2 linked regions of the Schizosaccharomyces pombe genome follow. The gene in region 2 interacts genetically with the main gene of each other region. Each region holds a gene or a part of one and is shown on either strand. Other genes may lie near its edges.

Region 1 (7,635 bases), 560 kb from region 2:
TTTTATGCAAGAAGCTAAAGATCTAGAACCGCTCACACCTAAACAAGATAAAAGATTGCGTTGGAAATTGTATTTTACTGTACTTGTAATGCTCATGATACTGGATATGATGTTATACATTGACAAGGCCACACTAAGTTACTCAAGTATCCTTGGATTATTTGAAGATACACACATAAATAGCAACCAATACAATGATATAAATACGCTTTTTTATGTGGGATTTGTTATTGGACAGATCCCTGGTCATATGTTACTGCAAAGATTTCCCGTCAGTAAGTTTGTTGCTGCTTCAACGGCTCTCTGGACGATTATAATTTTCTTGCATTGCGCCGCATATAATTTTAGTGGTTTAATGGCACTTCGTTTTTTTCTGGGTCTTGTAGAATCCTCGTTGCTACCTACCATGGAAGCAACCATTGGCATGTTTTTCCCTCATTCTGAGCAAGCTCTTCTTCAGCCCTTTTTCTATATTTCATGCTATGGCTGTAATATTCCTGCAGGGTTTATAGCCTATGGAGTCCAATATGCAAAAAACACCATATCTCCTTGGAAGCTCTTTATGATAATCGTCGGAGGAATCACATTTTTTTTAACTATTGGACTCTTTTTTTATTACCCAGATAATACTTCTACTGCTAGATTCTTGACCAAGAAAGAGAGATTATACACAGTTGACCGTGTACGTAGAAGTAATCATAGCGGTATTGAGTCGAAGACTTTCAAGAAGTATCAAGTAATCGAGGCGTTAAAGGATCCAGTGACATGGTTATTTACTTTTCATGTTTTTTGCAATCAACTTTCCAACAATTTAGCTTACCAACAAAATTTACTTTTTACAAGCTTGAATGTTTCTGATTTGAATTCTACCTTGGTGGGCGTCGCTAGTGCCGGATATAATTGCGTTAGCGCAATTATAGCAACTTATATGATGAGTGTGATAAAAAACCAAAGTGCCTTTCACGGAGCTATATGGTATATCCCAAGTATTGCCGGAGGAATTGCGTGCGTAGCCATGTCATGGGATCATAAAATTGGGGAGTTAGCAGCTATTATTATAGCAAGCAATTTTGGTATCCCTTTTATTATTTCTCTTGGATGGACAACAGCCTCTTGTGCTGGATACACAAAGAAGCTTACTCGTGGTGTTATGTTTATGATTGGATATGCCATTGCCAACATCATTGGCCCACAAATGTGGCAGAGTCGTGATGCCCCGAGATATTATCCTGCTTGGATTGTTCAAATAGTAATTGCTTGGTCTGTTTCTCCCTTTGTATTGCTGATCATTCGCTGGATTCTTGTTCGAAGGAACAAAAAGCGCCTTGCTCTTCTTGAGCAGAATAAAGAACAGTATGAAAAGACTTGGATTGAGACGATTGATTCTTCTGGAAATCACGTTTCCGGTTTTTACGAAAATTCTATGCTTGATTTGACAGACCAGGAGAACCTATCGTTTATTTATCCCTTATAATTATCCATTTAAACGAAGGAATAAATCTTAAAAAATAACTTTTTGAAGTATTCATGAGAAATGTTTACAAAATAATTTCAAATTCCCAACAGTCATGAAAAATCCTTCTACTATTTGCTTTTTTTTTTGCAAAATTTTGTATTTTTAAACTACTTGCCCGTAAACTCTTAACTTATTTTAGACTACTACAAGACAGTTGCTTTATTTACTTGTTTTTTTGTTTCCTTTAGGATTCCTAACCTTTAATAGTAATCTTCGTCTTTAGCGAAGAATAGTTTGAAATTTTGTTTGTATATATTGCTGAAAGCTTTATTCAGTTACTATTTACATAGATTGAAAAGAAGAACTAGCATTCATTGCTAAATAAAATGGAGGTCGATTTTTATCCCCAATGGTTTCTCATAGTTTACTTTGCTGCAAAGTTGCGATTGAAAAAGAGATGTTCTAAAAAAGTATTTTTATATCAATTATAAAGCCTAATACGTAGGGGAAATCCAAACCAGTTAAATTTTTCAGCTCGGCTTTGCATTCCATCTGATAATTTTCGCTGTAGATTATCATATTTAAAAAACATTGAATCAATTGGTAACTTAGCATATATACGTTGATAGATGAAATCAGCTATTATTAGATTTTATAATCTTTAAACTGTGGTGTTTAATAAGTAAAAGACTGGAAATAGCCCATTAAATTAAACAATTAGCTGAACCCGAGTTCCATATTTGCAATAAGTTTTTTACCATTAATAAACTGCTATGTGGTGTTTCATTAACAGTAAAAAATTATTGTAAAATTCAATATCATGAATAATCATTAAAGATTGTGCTTAGCTGGTTTGAACAAACCGACGTTTTCGGCAACAAAATCGTCTGGGGCTGTTACTACTCCAGTTTCAGCTTCGTAGACCAACCAATACTCGATGAGTTCGTTTAGAATATCTGGATGGACTTTCGCTAGATTTTCAAGCTCACCTTTGTCCTGGGAAAGATCATACAGCTCCCATTCTGTTTTTATTCCTTCTTTAGGTACATATATTGCCTTATAATTTCCTTTTCTGATAGCTCTTTGCCCGAAAAGTTCCCAGCCGCTAAAGTCAGTATCTTTGTGTACGGGTTTTCCATGCACAAAATGGTCAATCCAAGGTTTCCCACGGGGGATTACAACATCTCGTCCTTGAAATTTGTGCCCTGGGTGAGGGACTTCTGCTAACTCAAGGATGGTTGGCAGGATATCCATAACCGTAACAAACTCATCGGAGATGATGTCTGGCTTGATCAATGGAGGATAGCGAATTATAGCAGGACATCGAATACCACCTTCTGTAATAAAACCCTTGCTAAGTCGAGAAGGAGCGGTCGCAGCCTGTGCCCATCTTGGTCCGTACCAAATAAATGAATTATAATTACCCAAGTTTTCCAGTGAATTGTCAAAATACTTAACCGGTGGTTTTGTGCTTAATACCGGGATTGCTTCCAAAACTGACCCTTCTGCACCGTTGTCTGACATAAATATAACAAATGTGTTGTCAAGTTCTCCAATAGTTTTCAAGTAGTCAATAACACGACCAATATTCAAATCTAATAATTCGACCATTGCAGCATAAACTTCCATCGTTCGCGCAGAAAATTCTTTCTCTTCTGTTGTTAGTTCGTCCCATGACTTGGTTCCCATTCCATCTACAGGTGCTGGAATTACATTTTCTGGTATAAGTCCCAAATCCTTTTGGGCTTGCAAGCGATTTTTTCGTAACACATCGGGGCCTTCACTATATCGTCCACGATATTTATTAATATATTCTTTTGGTGATTGCAACGGCCAATGAGGTGCTGTAAATGGGAGGTAAGCAAAAAATGACTGGGATTTTTCACGATTTTTTAACTGATCAATTAATTTTTCTGCAAAGTAATTGGACGAATAAAAATTTTTTAAGCTTTTGTGATCAACAGGATCATGATTGTGGGTATACAATGGTGGTAAAAAAGGTACAGCAGGGTTTTCTCTAGTACCAGGTTCATATGCAAAATGATTACCACCTCCAGGTAAAAGTGCAAAAGATTCTTTAAATCCTCGCTTTGAAGGGTAACGATCTGGGGTTAGTCCAAGGTGCCACTTTCCAGACATTGTGGTATAGTAACCCGCTTCCTGTAGAATCTCTGGTAATGCAGCAACTCTATCATTTAGGTAGCCTTCGTACCCAGGCTTTCCACCCCATACTTTCGAAAACCTGCGTACTGTCTCTGCCATTTGCCCTAAACCTGCTATGTGATTGTCTGTACCGCTTAATAACATAGATCGAGTAGGCGAGCAAGCAGAGGCTGTATGAAAGTTTGTCAACCGTACACCTTCCTTTGCAAGCCTCTCAATATTTGGAGTGTGTATTTCACTTCCAAACGGAGAAACATCTGACCATCCAAGATCGTCAGCTACGATGACCAAAAAGTTTGGTTTTTTAGATTCAGCTTGTTTATTAAAAGCCATAGTTACTATTCAAATTTTTTTTGATTGCGAATAAATTTTTATGCAGCTCAAACTGTAATTTTTATTTTATGTTCATAAAGGGCATGTGAGACAAGAGACAGCCCACAAGTTGATTAAAATATGAAAAAATATATTTGCAACAATTGTCTTCCGTAATAGATTGCAAAATTACAAATACCTAATGAAGAAGTATGGCGTGCTATCACGTAAGCTTTGAGTAACATCATCCATATTAAAAAAGATACTCATACATTCCAATTTACTGGATCAAACTGTAATTTACTTATCTGAATATTTTAGAGATAAGATTCAGTAAATCAAGTTTAAAACTAATTACTGTCACTCACTCAATATGTGCAAAACTGAGTTTACTGACCAGGAATTGACTTTTTTTTTTTATTTATCAAGGAAATATTAATTGAGTTATCAATCCCAAAGGAAAATATGTGAAAATATTTAAACACTCGCCAAATTATATTAATTGATCTTTATATCAATAAATGCTTTACTCTAGAAAAAATCGGTTTCGGTAATATACTACAAAGGAACCTAAATAGATTTTGAAGCTTTATACATATAAGAAAACATTAATTTTCTAAAAGATACCAAATGATAATTAACAAGGACGTCGATTTTCGTTATTTTGAACTTTCAACGAGAAATGTCAGTGGAAGATTCAACATATTTTCTATGAGATAAATTAGATATAATAACATTTTGCTTTTGACAATAACTGAGAAAAATCATATTTATACCTAGATTTGTTGAGTGATACGAATTTCATACAATTTAATGGGGGTAAACTGCGATTAAAATTACGTTTTGGTCCTTTGTATTGTCTTATTGATATGAAATATCAGACACGAATATTTTCATACTAAGTGGTAATAATTAATTTACAACTGACCTCGGATTCTCTTTTCGTTTGAAATTAAAATAATACTTAATTATTACAATTGGAATTTAATAATCTCGATTAGTGGACGTAATATATATGAAGATATGAAGAGTATAAAAGTATCGAGATGTATCATAATAAAGCTTAATGCTATATATCTGAAGATTTTTTTCTTGGTAAATTGTTTCCGTAACTAAGGGCCGTCCAATAATTAGACTTCCTAAGTTCAAAAATAGTGGACCAATTGTTAAAAAATACAGATAAAGAACATCTTAAGACATTCACAATATACAAAAACAACTTGTTTCAATTGTAGGAACTTGTAAAGTTAAAGGATTAAGTTGTTGTACAGAAAGGATCTTTGCGTAATGTTGGATCCGAGAAAAGATGTAACATTCTCAAACAATCCATACATCATTTCCCTTCAACGCACTTTTGGTACTATCAATTGCAATTATAAGTGAATTCAAATTATATCAAAAGAGTTACGTAAATTCATATTTATCAGATTTGGTCTGATATTATGTTAAAGTGTAAACTTATTGAGCAGCACCCACTATTTTCTTTTTACTCATTATTATATCGGATGTATTCAAACTTGGTTTACATTTAAATAGTAATAGCAAATCGTTTTAATTACAAATTAGAATTTACACGTGTTAAGTTGTCATTGTTACTCGGTAAATGCATCCTAGATTATGACTATAATAATTTTGTTTAAACATTCCTTTTCTTAGCATGTTTTCATTTGTGTTCGATGGGTAAAAAGCTAATAATATTATTATAAAATAAGCTGTATTATAATAATAGGTTGTCTGAGCCGAAGCAAGTAATTGTGCTAACTACATTCCCATATACGCTTATTATTGCAAGGAATTTTAAATGACTTGGAAATGATTAAAAAGCAAAATTAATTGGCTGTTCACTTTTATATATAATGTAGCGGCATGTAAAGTGCTACTAGTATAGGCATATAAATATTTATTTGAGCGGACATCTTTTTTTAACTATAGTACTTGGAAAAATCGTATACGGTGGATCATTAGCTGATTAAACCAGAAATATTACAACTTAGTTCAACAACGCATTATTGAAAGTGAAAGCGAGTCCTCAGATGAGCAACATGAAGTATATCAAAATGGTATTATCTACGATACTGATTAAAAGGATGAAGCATCTATATTTGAGAAATTAGGTGATGATGAATCTGCTCATGAGGACAATATGCTTGAACTTGGAGAGCCCTAGGAATTTTCGAAATTTTTTTGGAAACGGAGAAAGCTAGATCCAAACTCCATTACAACAAAAAAATCCATTTTTGATGATCCTAATACGTTAGCTGCTTTCAAACCTAGTCCTTACTATGAAAGTAGACACCGCATCGATCCTTTTTTTAGATGGATATGGGTCAGGAACAAAAAGTTGTTCGTAAAATAGATATGCTCATTATTTCATGGGCATTCATTATGTTTTTTGCACTAGAATTAGATCGTGCCAATATTCAACAAGCCCTTTCAGATAACATGTTGGATGATTTAGGAATGAATACTAATGATTACAATAAGGGTATGACAATATTTTATTGTTCCTTTTTAGCGGCAAAACTGCCATCTCAATTAATTAGCAAGAAGATAGGTCCCAATCGCTGGATTCCAACCCAAATGGTTTTATGGAGCATTGTTTATATTTGTCAATATTCTTTAAGTGGAACAGCATTATTTTAAATTATGAGATGGCTTCTAGGTATGCTTGAAGGAGGGTTTATTCCCGTCGTCATCTTGTATTAATCTTATTTTTATAATGGACAAGAAATCTCTTTACGCTTAGCAATTTTTTTGGATTTCTAATACCTTGTCAGATATTTTTGCTTTTATTGTAGCTGTAGGCATATTAAAGATGCGTGGACTTCATGGAAAGCCAGGTTGGGCATACTTGTTTTTGACTAAAGGTTTTATTACTTTATTGGAGGATTATCTATTTATTACCACCAAGTCCAATGCAAACGGCTTCATGTTTCGAGGGAGAAAGGGATGGTTTTCTGAGAGAGAAGAGAAAATAATTGTTAATAAGGTTCTCAGAGATGATTTTGCAAAAGCTGAAATGCATAACCGAGAAGCAATTACTCCAAAAACTCTATTCCAAGCAATTAAAAGTTGGAAAATGTATCCATTGTATATCATTGGGTTGCTATTTGAAATTCCTAAAACTCCTCCTACTACATATTTAACCCTTACTTTAAGAATTCTTTGGTTTTCGACTGTAAAGACTAATTAGTTAACTCTTCCATCAAAATTTATTCACATGTTTTTACTTTTGTTTTTAAATTACCTGAGTGCTCTCCTTGATGAACGATCTTTAGTTTCGCTAATTGGTTAAATATGGCTTCTTCCGCTATTGATTGCACTTTACTGCTTCCCTGCTAATGAAAATAAGTGGGTGATTTATGTCATTTCAGCATTAATTGTTGGCAGCCCGTACTCTCATGGAATTCAGGTAGGTTGGTGTTCGCGTAATTCTAATTCTGTAAGAAACAGAACAGTTTCGGCTTCACTTTATAATATTTCTGATCAAATCGGGTCTATCATTTCTTCAAATATTACCGTAATGATGATAAACCTCTTTATCCACGTGGTAATAGAGTTCTTGGTATTTGCTGCCTTAATATTTTTGTTTATGTCTTATCTAAGATTTTTTATGTAAGCTTAAACAAATATCGTGATCGAAAATGGAACGCAATGACCGAGAACGAAAAAAATGAATTTGGAAACAACCAAAGACACAGGAA
Region 2 (8,302 bases):
CTTCATCATCATGGAGACGCACCATTTAGTGCCGGATACACTTTAGTTGAGCTGGCTCATCTTTTGCGTTCAAGTTTCCCAACCCAGAGATGCATTGCTATTCAGACTATTGGAAGGATTATTTACCGATTAAACTCTGGCGAATTCAGAGAGGTGCTCAGTCCAGAATTGCATACACTAGTCGAAGATGCACATATCTATGAATTACTTGCCGCCGCTGCCAGTGACCAAGTAAAGCACCTCACTGTACGCTCATTAGCAATTGAGGCACTTTGGTTATGTTCACAAAGTCAACACGGCTCATCGAGATCGGCTGTTTAAAGAAGCAAGCTTTTTTTTATAAGGAAACAGAAAATTATGAAGAATGTTTTATCATTTGTATCTGAATGTGACGATTCTATTTGTTTTGGTTTATGTGTATTACTAGTTTTTTTTTTTTTTTGTATCAAAAAAAGGATGGTTTTTTTTTTGGTCTTTACTTTTTTCGAAATTGTCGCATTGCTGAGAGATTTTACTTGGTAATCGAAAGTGGTGCTGCAATGAATATATTTTTTATACTAATGCTTTATAAGGACAGTTTTTATTTATCTACTTTTATCGTGTTTCCATTCGTTATTTAGTCGAAAATGAATTTTTAACACAAGAAATGACATTGAGACAGACAATTTAGATTAAAATAGCCCACCCTCATAACTAGTAAGATATCACTTTGTCTTTAAATTTTCATCAAGGCGCAGTAAAGAGATATAAAAAAAGTATATATCTCGAAAGATCATTTAACCTAGAAAGTCATAGAAGTAACACATTAATTGAAGTATTATGAAATCAAGGCATAAATAAATAGGATGTCTCGCAGGCGCATAATGGGAGTTCATTTCCGTTTAAACAATCTTTTCCAAAGAGGAGCTTTCTCTTCTTTTCTTCTTATTTGGGTAAGACTTTCGTAGTAAGAAGGTTTAAATTGTGGTTTCAATACTACTTGCTTGGGGATATACTACAATTTGGTTAAAAGGCGAACAAAGGTAAGGCGACCCTATCAAGGCACGTAATAAGAAGCATACCTTATTCCAATAGACATTATCAAGCAAATTATTCAAAGCGTTTAACTGCTTATTAGCCTGTTGAGGTGGCATCTTTTGAAGTCTGGCTCTAATAGATGTGTCAAGAGTCTTAGGAAACGACAACCAAGGTCGCAATTCATCCTTCGGCCAAAGAGCAACTGCCTTTGTTATTTTTTGGTTTAGAGACATTATTGAGGGTTAAAAACAAGAATAAAGCCTCAACTTTCAATTGCTTTGCAAGTAGAAAGATTCTTCGACATTCTCTGCTTTGGCCAGGCTATATCACCTTATTGCGCTAAACAATATTGAGCGGCAAATACAAATATTGTAAATAACTTAACAGAATAATTACATATTTTGTTAGGCTTATAAGGATGCAATCAGTACTACGGTGAGTTTTTTTAGTGAATCATCTATTATGTTATACAACGTATATCATTAAATGATCTTAAAAAGTACCGGTGCGATGGAGTTGATAGAACCTTTGAAAACGGTTTAAAATTGAAGTGAGCAAGGTAGAGTCAACTAAGCATATTTAAGCAGTATTTTAAAACTTTCAATCTATATAAGAAAGGATATCTTATTTGGAGTGGATTAGAAATATGAAATTATCTAAGAAATGTTGCTATGTAAGCGAACGGGTTTTTTGTGAAACGGTTCCTGATGGGGTAGTGTAATATAATACTGTACAACGAATCTAGTGCCGGTGAAGCCAGCATGGCATATTAATTATACGATTAGCTAGCTAAAAGCAGAGAACATGGTTTATACGGGCTCTAATTAAAGTGGTTCTGAATACAGTAAGACATAAATATAATTCTTTCAGTTCATATGCAACATATAGTCTCGTTGAGTAACGAAATTGTACTACCTGTCAACTGTTAACTTCCAGCTTTTCTACATACATCAATGGAGTAACACTAAGAATTATTCCATCATAGAACAAATAAGGCATCAGTATTATCATTTAGAATAACATAAACTTAAATTATCAAAGTAGTAGTCGAAACGAATCGTTCATCTCGAAATCTGTTATTCAAATACGTTCCTTTTTCAAGTATAAAATAATCATCTTATGATTAACGACAAAGCACAAGGAAACAATTGCTTGTAAACCAAAAGTATTTCATTCCGTTCATTAAACCTTAGCATCATAACGTCCAAATAGTCTTGTCTTCAACCAGTCAATCAACACCATGAATTGGGATCGAGCAGAAATCAACTCATTTAAATATGCAAGTCTCCAAAAGGTGTGGCCGACAATTCCCTGCAAAGGCAGCATCTTTTTCATAAATGGCAATTTTAAATCGGCAATGGCCTTTTCATCTCCAACGTAAGCTAAAGCTCCTTGATGATGGTATTTAAAGGGCTCTAACTTCAACTGCTCCACTTGCTGTTTCAATCCGGCAACCTGAGAAGGAGCCTCTTTCTCACCTAACTGTTTTTCAAGAGCTTGAATCCGTTCATGCAATGCAAACTTCTTTCCTTCGACGTTCAAGTTCTTAGCCAACCAAGCACCTTGTTGGTTAGCAACTTGAGCAGTAGCAGGTAATCCAGAGAATGCGCAATCACCAACGGCGTACATCTCAGGTACACCCTTGACCCTAAAAAACTCATCAACTATTAAACCTTTGCGCGCACCGCTTTGTTCAGGGATAGAAGACATCAATGTACGAGTGAGTGGACGAGCAGTAATGCCGGCAGCCCAAACGAGCATTCCGTAGGGTATCTCTTGCATAGCCTTGCTTCCGTCAGGGTTGGTCTTTTGAACGATAAGGTTCTTCTCATTAACATCTTTAACCACGGTTTTAGTCATGATCTTAATGTTAAGATTTTTGAATAAATTCTCCGTATACGTAATCAAAGATTTAGTAAACATGGGGAGAACACCGGGGGCAGCTTCAATTAACGTGACATGGATGTCTTTTTGAAGCTCGGGAAACATATCCTTAACGTCGTTATCAATGAAATCTTGCATCTCAGCTGCAAATTCCATTCCAGTAGGGCCACCACCAACAACAGTGATGTGTAAGAGACGAGCCCGTTCCTCGGGAGAAAGATCTTTATTGAATCGAACTTGTTCCAAGATTTCAAAGATGCGGTTAAACACCTTCTTGGCATCTCCCGCTTCTTTCAGAAAACAGCCATGGTCGCGGACACCCTGGATACCAAATGTTTGATTACCAGCTCCAATAGCAAAAACAAGCGTATCATACGGAATAACCGCTTCCTTTCCCTCGTTAGCTTCGGTCGTACCACGAATGGTAACTTTCTTAGCCGATGTGTCGATGGCAGTGCATTCAGCTTGGTGAATGTTGGAGGGATCAATTTTTCCTTTGAACAAAGCCACAATGGGCTCAGTAATACTTGGAAGTCTCAAAGTACCCACGGTACATGAAGGAAGCATAGGGGTGAATAAAAAATGGTCCCTAGGGCTCACGAGGGTAATGTTGTACAAGGACGGGTCCAAATTTTTGATTGCCGCGACTGCACCCCATCCAGAACCCAAAACAACTATGTTCTTTTTCGGAACACCAGATTTTCCTTTTGGCGAACTGTTGTTCAGTCTTCGTAAGGATTGGAAGAGGGCTACGGCACCCAACATGGACAAAGAAGAAGTAACTTCCGCCATTTCAAGTGCTCGAGAGAAAAATGATTTGTTACGGGGTGTAGGAACATTCCCACTGTTCTTTACAGCACAGGATACATGAAATGAACGAACCATCGTTTTTGAATATGGCACTGTACGAGACAGGCGAACCACAGACTGTAGTCTAGCTTTTGAGACCGACATTTTTTAAGAAAAAAGAAGTAAACAAATTTCCCCTTAAATAGGACTAAGTGATAAGTGGTAGGGAGGCGTGAGTAAAAAAATGTATGAGATAATGACAAATGTTAAAGAGCAAGCAAACTAAAGAGATAAACCCATTCAAAATTGAGCTATTTTACGATATTAATAGACAGTAATAGAAAGAGAGAACGACAACCTTGAGTCCTCTCCTAAATACACAGTGAATTACTATAACTAGCAGAAATAAGCCTTTAGAACTGCGAAAAAAAGGTATCCAATAATAGTTTTACTAGAAAAAATTGTAGTGTATTCTAAAATACCTTCTACTTTACAGAAAACGAGTTTTTCTGCTTATTTTTTTTTTAAGAAGAGATGGGGGAGTGTTGAATGTGGACGAAAGGGCTGCATAGCTGAACATTTTGTATGTAAACAATTAAGGTCTACGAAGCGCCCTAATTCCGTCATCACGGTTATTCATATCAACTTGATTGGACTCGGCAATCAAGTGTGCTGTGAGTGGGGAAAAATAACGCGGAATAAGGTTATCCATAAAAAGTATTACGTGGTAAGAAAAGAATTGCTAAATGTTAGCAACGCACTGTGTTATCACATTTAATGTTACATTGGTAGTGTATGTTATTTGTCCTAAAAAAAGTGATATGGGTGACAAATGCTATAAATTTTGTGGCATGAAGGGTGTAACTCATCGTTGAATCAGCTTATAACTGGACTGAGAACCGGGTCAATTGATCTCTATTCATAAATTGTAGCTAATAGTACCTTCAATCAAAAGTATTTAACTAAATTTATAACCGTCATATTTGGCGAACACATAAAAAAAAGGACATGTGAAAAAATATTAATACCTGCTGTAGTATAATATTACTACATTAGATTACTTTTTAGGAAAAGTTGTGCAACAGTAATTTTTTAGTGTATGGCAAATTCCCAGTTTATGAAGGCAATGCTTTGTCCTGGGTATGAATGCCTTTTATTCACTTTTCTACCTATTTTACCTTCAATGATTTCCTAAACTTAAAATTCAGTAGTATATAAGACAGCTAATGTGTGCGACCTTCCTATGTGTTTTCAAATCGTTTCTCTTAGTTAACAGCTTGATACGTTAGATAGACTCAATATGTATAGAGTAAGTGAGTGAGTGGCAAAATTAAAAAAAAAAGTCATGAGTGTATATACCCAAGGCCTTGTACTGAACGATTGTCTTATGACAGATCTTCTTTTATGATTTAACCCAAATGTATCAGCATACATTGAAGTATTGAAAGAACACATTAATTGCTAGTGAATTGAAAGAATGACAGTAAACCTTCTAATGTAGTAGGATTGTTTAGGTTCTGGTTTCTCAATTAGTAATAAACTAAAATAAATTAAAAATAACCCAATGTATATCGCCCAAGTAATATAAAATCTAAGTATAAAAATGAACAGCCAAAGATATTGTTCAAAGGTATAGTCGTTTAACAGGTACAATGGTAAATACGAAACGAAGGTCCTTGAGATGGACTTTTTACATGCACTTTATTGATTTTCTTATGCAACCACATCCATCTCAACATCCTCTTTGGGGTTCTTTTCATTTTCATGACCATCGCTCTCGTTGTACGTTTCAAAAAGCAATTCTTTCATTTTCTTAGAAACTTCCTCGGCATGCAATGGTGCTGTCTCCAGAACACGGAAAAAATCTTCTTCTGGAATGGGGCCAGCTGTTTCGAGAAAAATTAATTTGGCTGGTTCTGAGGAAATTGAATAACAAATAGTAATAATAGACTCCAATTTGTTAATTGTCCCATCGACATCAGGTTCATCTTGAGTTATTTTGTTCTTCCAGTGACAATTTATTGCACAGGGAATATATTTTAAAGAGATACCTGCGTCCAATAAAGCAAGTACCGCACCATTGATTACGGCAGCCAATGTATCTGTGCCATCTTCCTCTATTATCTGAATTGACACTTGTATAAGTGTTCTTGGATATGTGTTTAGAAATATTGCATCTTCTAGGATACCAACAATTCTGCTAGAAATCATCTTTTCCAAAGTCTCAGCGACACCACTCACAGGTTGAACCAAAACTTCAACGGTGGCCTTGTTAAGCCTTTCGTCCCTGATTTTTACATCAATAGGACCATTGACACCACAAATAACCCTAGCAGAACCTACAATGATGTTAGCATAAAGAAAATTCATTTTTTTTTAATTGGCATTTGCTTGGCTAATATACCGTGGATAATAGCATTACCTTGTTTCCATTCGCTCGAGCCATCAGACCTTGAGAGGATACCTATACGGTTCATTTCAGCTTCTATAATGCAACAAAGTTGCTTGCTTGCAGAGACAGAAGAAACGTTTCTACTTCCTTTGCACAAGTAGGAAATAAGCTAGCTTACACCTCGTTATTCGAAAACAGAATGAGAGCAGAAAAAAATGTATCAATAGTTTGGTGACAATGGGAGTTGTATTAATAAGGGTTTGTAATTAAATTCTTCCAATTTTTACTTTACTAAAGCTGAATGATAGGAGAAACTGGAATGATCTGTAACAGCCCAACCACTAAAAAATTAGAAATTACTCATAGCCATCTTTCAAAATATTTTTTTAAAAATAATACATCATGATATATAATCTCATTATAAAGGAATCACCTTTGTATTAAGGAGAATGAATCCAGGATTGTTTTTTCATTTCTGAAAGTCTACTCAAGCAACGCGTGAAGGTAAATACCTCTTCAATCCCACCAAATGCTCCATGATAGTGAGATTCAATTTTCCCCTTGGCAGCAGGATCAGCCGTAGAGGAAAGTACTTCAGAAGGTGCTGTCGGATATATTTCTTGAACTGGAACTTCAGATGATAAGATGAGTTTTCCATGGGTGTCATAAAGGGCATCAATAAATGTAATGAACCTATGGATAAGGTCTTTCGACTCGATACTCAATTTGGGAATGTCTGAAACGATGAAAACATGGTAACGGCTTGCCAATGAAAGATAGTCGGCAGCGCTTTTCGGTTCTCCACATAATTGTTCAAAGGTGAACCATGCAACGTTGCCACTTGCTTTTGGAACGATTATCTTTCTCCCAAATACTTCAACTTCGTCTTGGTGAGCAGGATCTTTCTCATCAGCGTAGCAAAGAAACCAATTTTCCAAGGCTTTCTTAACTTCTGGGCTATTAGCAGGATAAAGATATGTATCTTCTGTTTTAGATTTTAGGCGTCGGTAATCGTTTGGACTGTCCAAACAAATTACTTGAAGACGATGTTCCAAAAGTTTAATGCAAGGAATGAAGCTCTCTCTTTGTATTCCATTTTTATACAAATCAGAAGGAGCCCTATTAGAAGTAATAAAGATAACAACACCATACTTCATAAGGGCCTCAAAGAGTCTGCGTAGTAAAAGAGCGTCCGCGACATCGGTTACCTGTAATTCGTCAAAACATAGCACTGTTGTTTCTTTTGCTATTCCGGATGCAATATGATCTATAAAATCAATCTCAAACCCATAACGATCTTGCAAATCATGTGAAGTGCGATGAACTTGCATCATAAATGCATGGAAATGAATGCGCTGAGAACGAGTAACATTGGGTGGTAAGTTGTGATAAAATAGATCCATCAAAGCGGTTTTACCACAGCCCACATCACCATATAGATATATACCTTTAGGCATACCCGGTACAGGTAAAGAAGAAGTTAGAGTGGGAGACTTCTTCCTAGAAAACATTTTCTTTAAGGGGGATATCCAAGATAGGATTGATCCCTTTTCAGCTGGCATACTATCTTGCGTTATTGGAGGTTGTGTATACGATTCCAATTCGGTATACAAACGGTTGATTGCTTTAACCGCTGTTTCTTGATACGGGTCACGTTTCCATACGCCGTCATTAACTTTCTTGTTGTATACTTCAATAGGTGTATTATGAAATGTGGTAAAGCGAACTACCCTGCAAACTCCAATGCTTCCTATAGTATCAACAAAAGCAAAACAAGGAGCTGAAACACGAAGCACTTGCAGCATGATGATATGACCAAATTAAATACAAACTTTTGAACAAAAATAATGTTTCGTAAGCTAACTAAAGTAAAGAAAAAAAGTGGTTATTGATCAATTAGTGAATTCATTCAGGAATGATAAAGTGAGAGTGGATATAAAGCTGTAGAACGATTGTAGATGAAAAGCAAAAGATTAGAAAGAAAATATGTCAACTACAAGACGTACTTAGTGATTAAAGACATATGTTTTTAAGTGAATAAATATAAATCGTTGGACAGATGCATGATTATTCTTGCCTCTGAATAGCGTTCGGCAGTGCAGTTTGCTTTTATTATAGTGAATTGCGATGATTTCGGTATATGCGTTTGCGTATTGTCTTAATCATGAGCAAATGTTAATCTGAAACTAGTAAGTCAAGCCTATTTCGTTGGTAAATAGA

What was found.
Region 1: mutations in ndi1 (region 2) and SPOM_SPBPB10D8.02C together harm fitness more than expected from each alone (negative genetic interaction), as found in Schizosaccharomyces pombe (one large-scale study listed by BioGRID).

What each region holds. Positions count from the first base shown.
Region 1 is NC_003423.3:81,480-89,114, forward strand, and holds SPOM_SPBPB10D8.02C (arylsulfatase), read right to left. Parts: upstream 4,040-7,635; 5' UTR 3,953-4,039; coding exon 2,288-3,952; 3' UTR 1,750-2,287; downstream 1-1,749. Other genes in the region: SPOM_SPBPB10D8.01 (cysteine transporter), read left to right, coding at 1-1,474.
Region 2 is NC_003423.3:637,239-645,540, reverse strand, and holds ndi1 (NADH dehydrogenase), read right to left. Parts: upstream 4,248-8,302; 5' UTR 3,856-4,247; coding exon 2,200-3,855; 3' UTR 1,635-2,199; downstream 1-1,634. Other genes in the region: rba50 (RNA polymerase II-associated protein), read left to right, coding at 1-321; respiratory chain complex assembly protein Cbp6, read right to left, coding at 872-994, 1,062-1,250; exosome subunit Rrp46, read right to left, coding at 5,404-6,029, 6,113-6,167; AFG1 family ATPase, read right to left, coding at 6,523-7,887.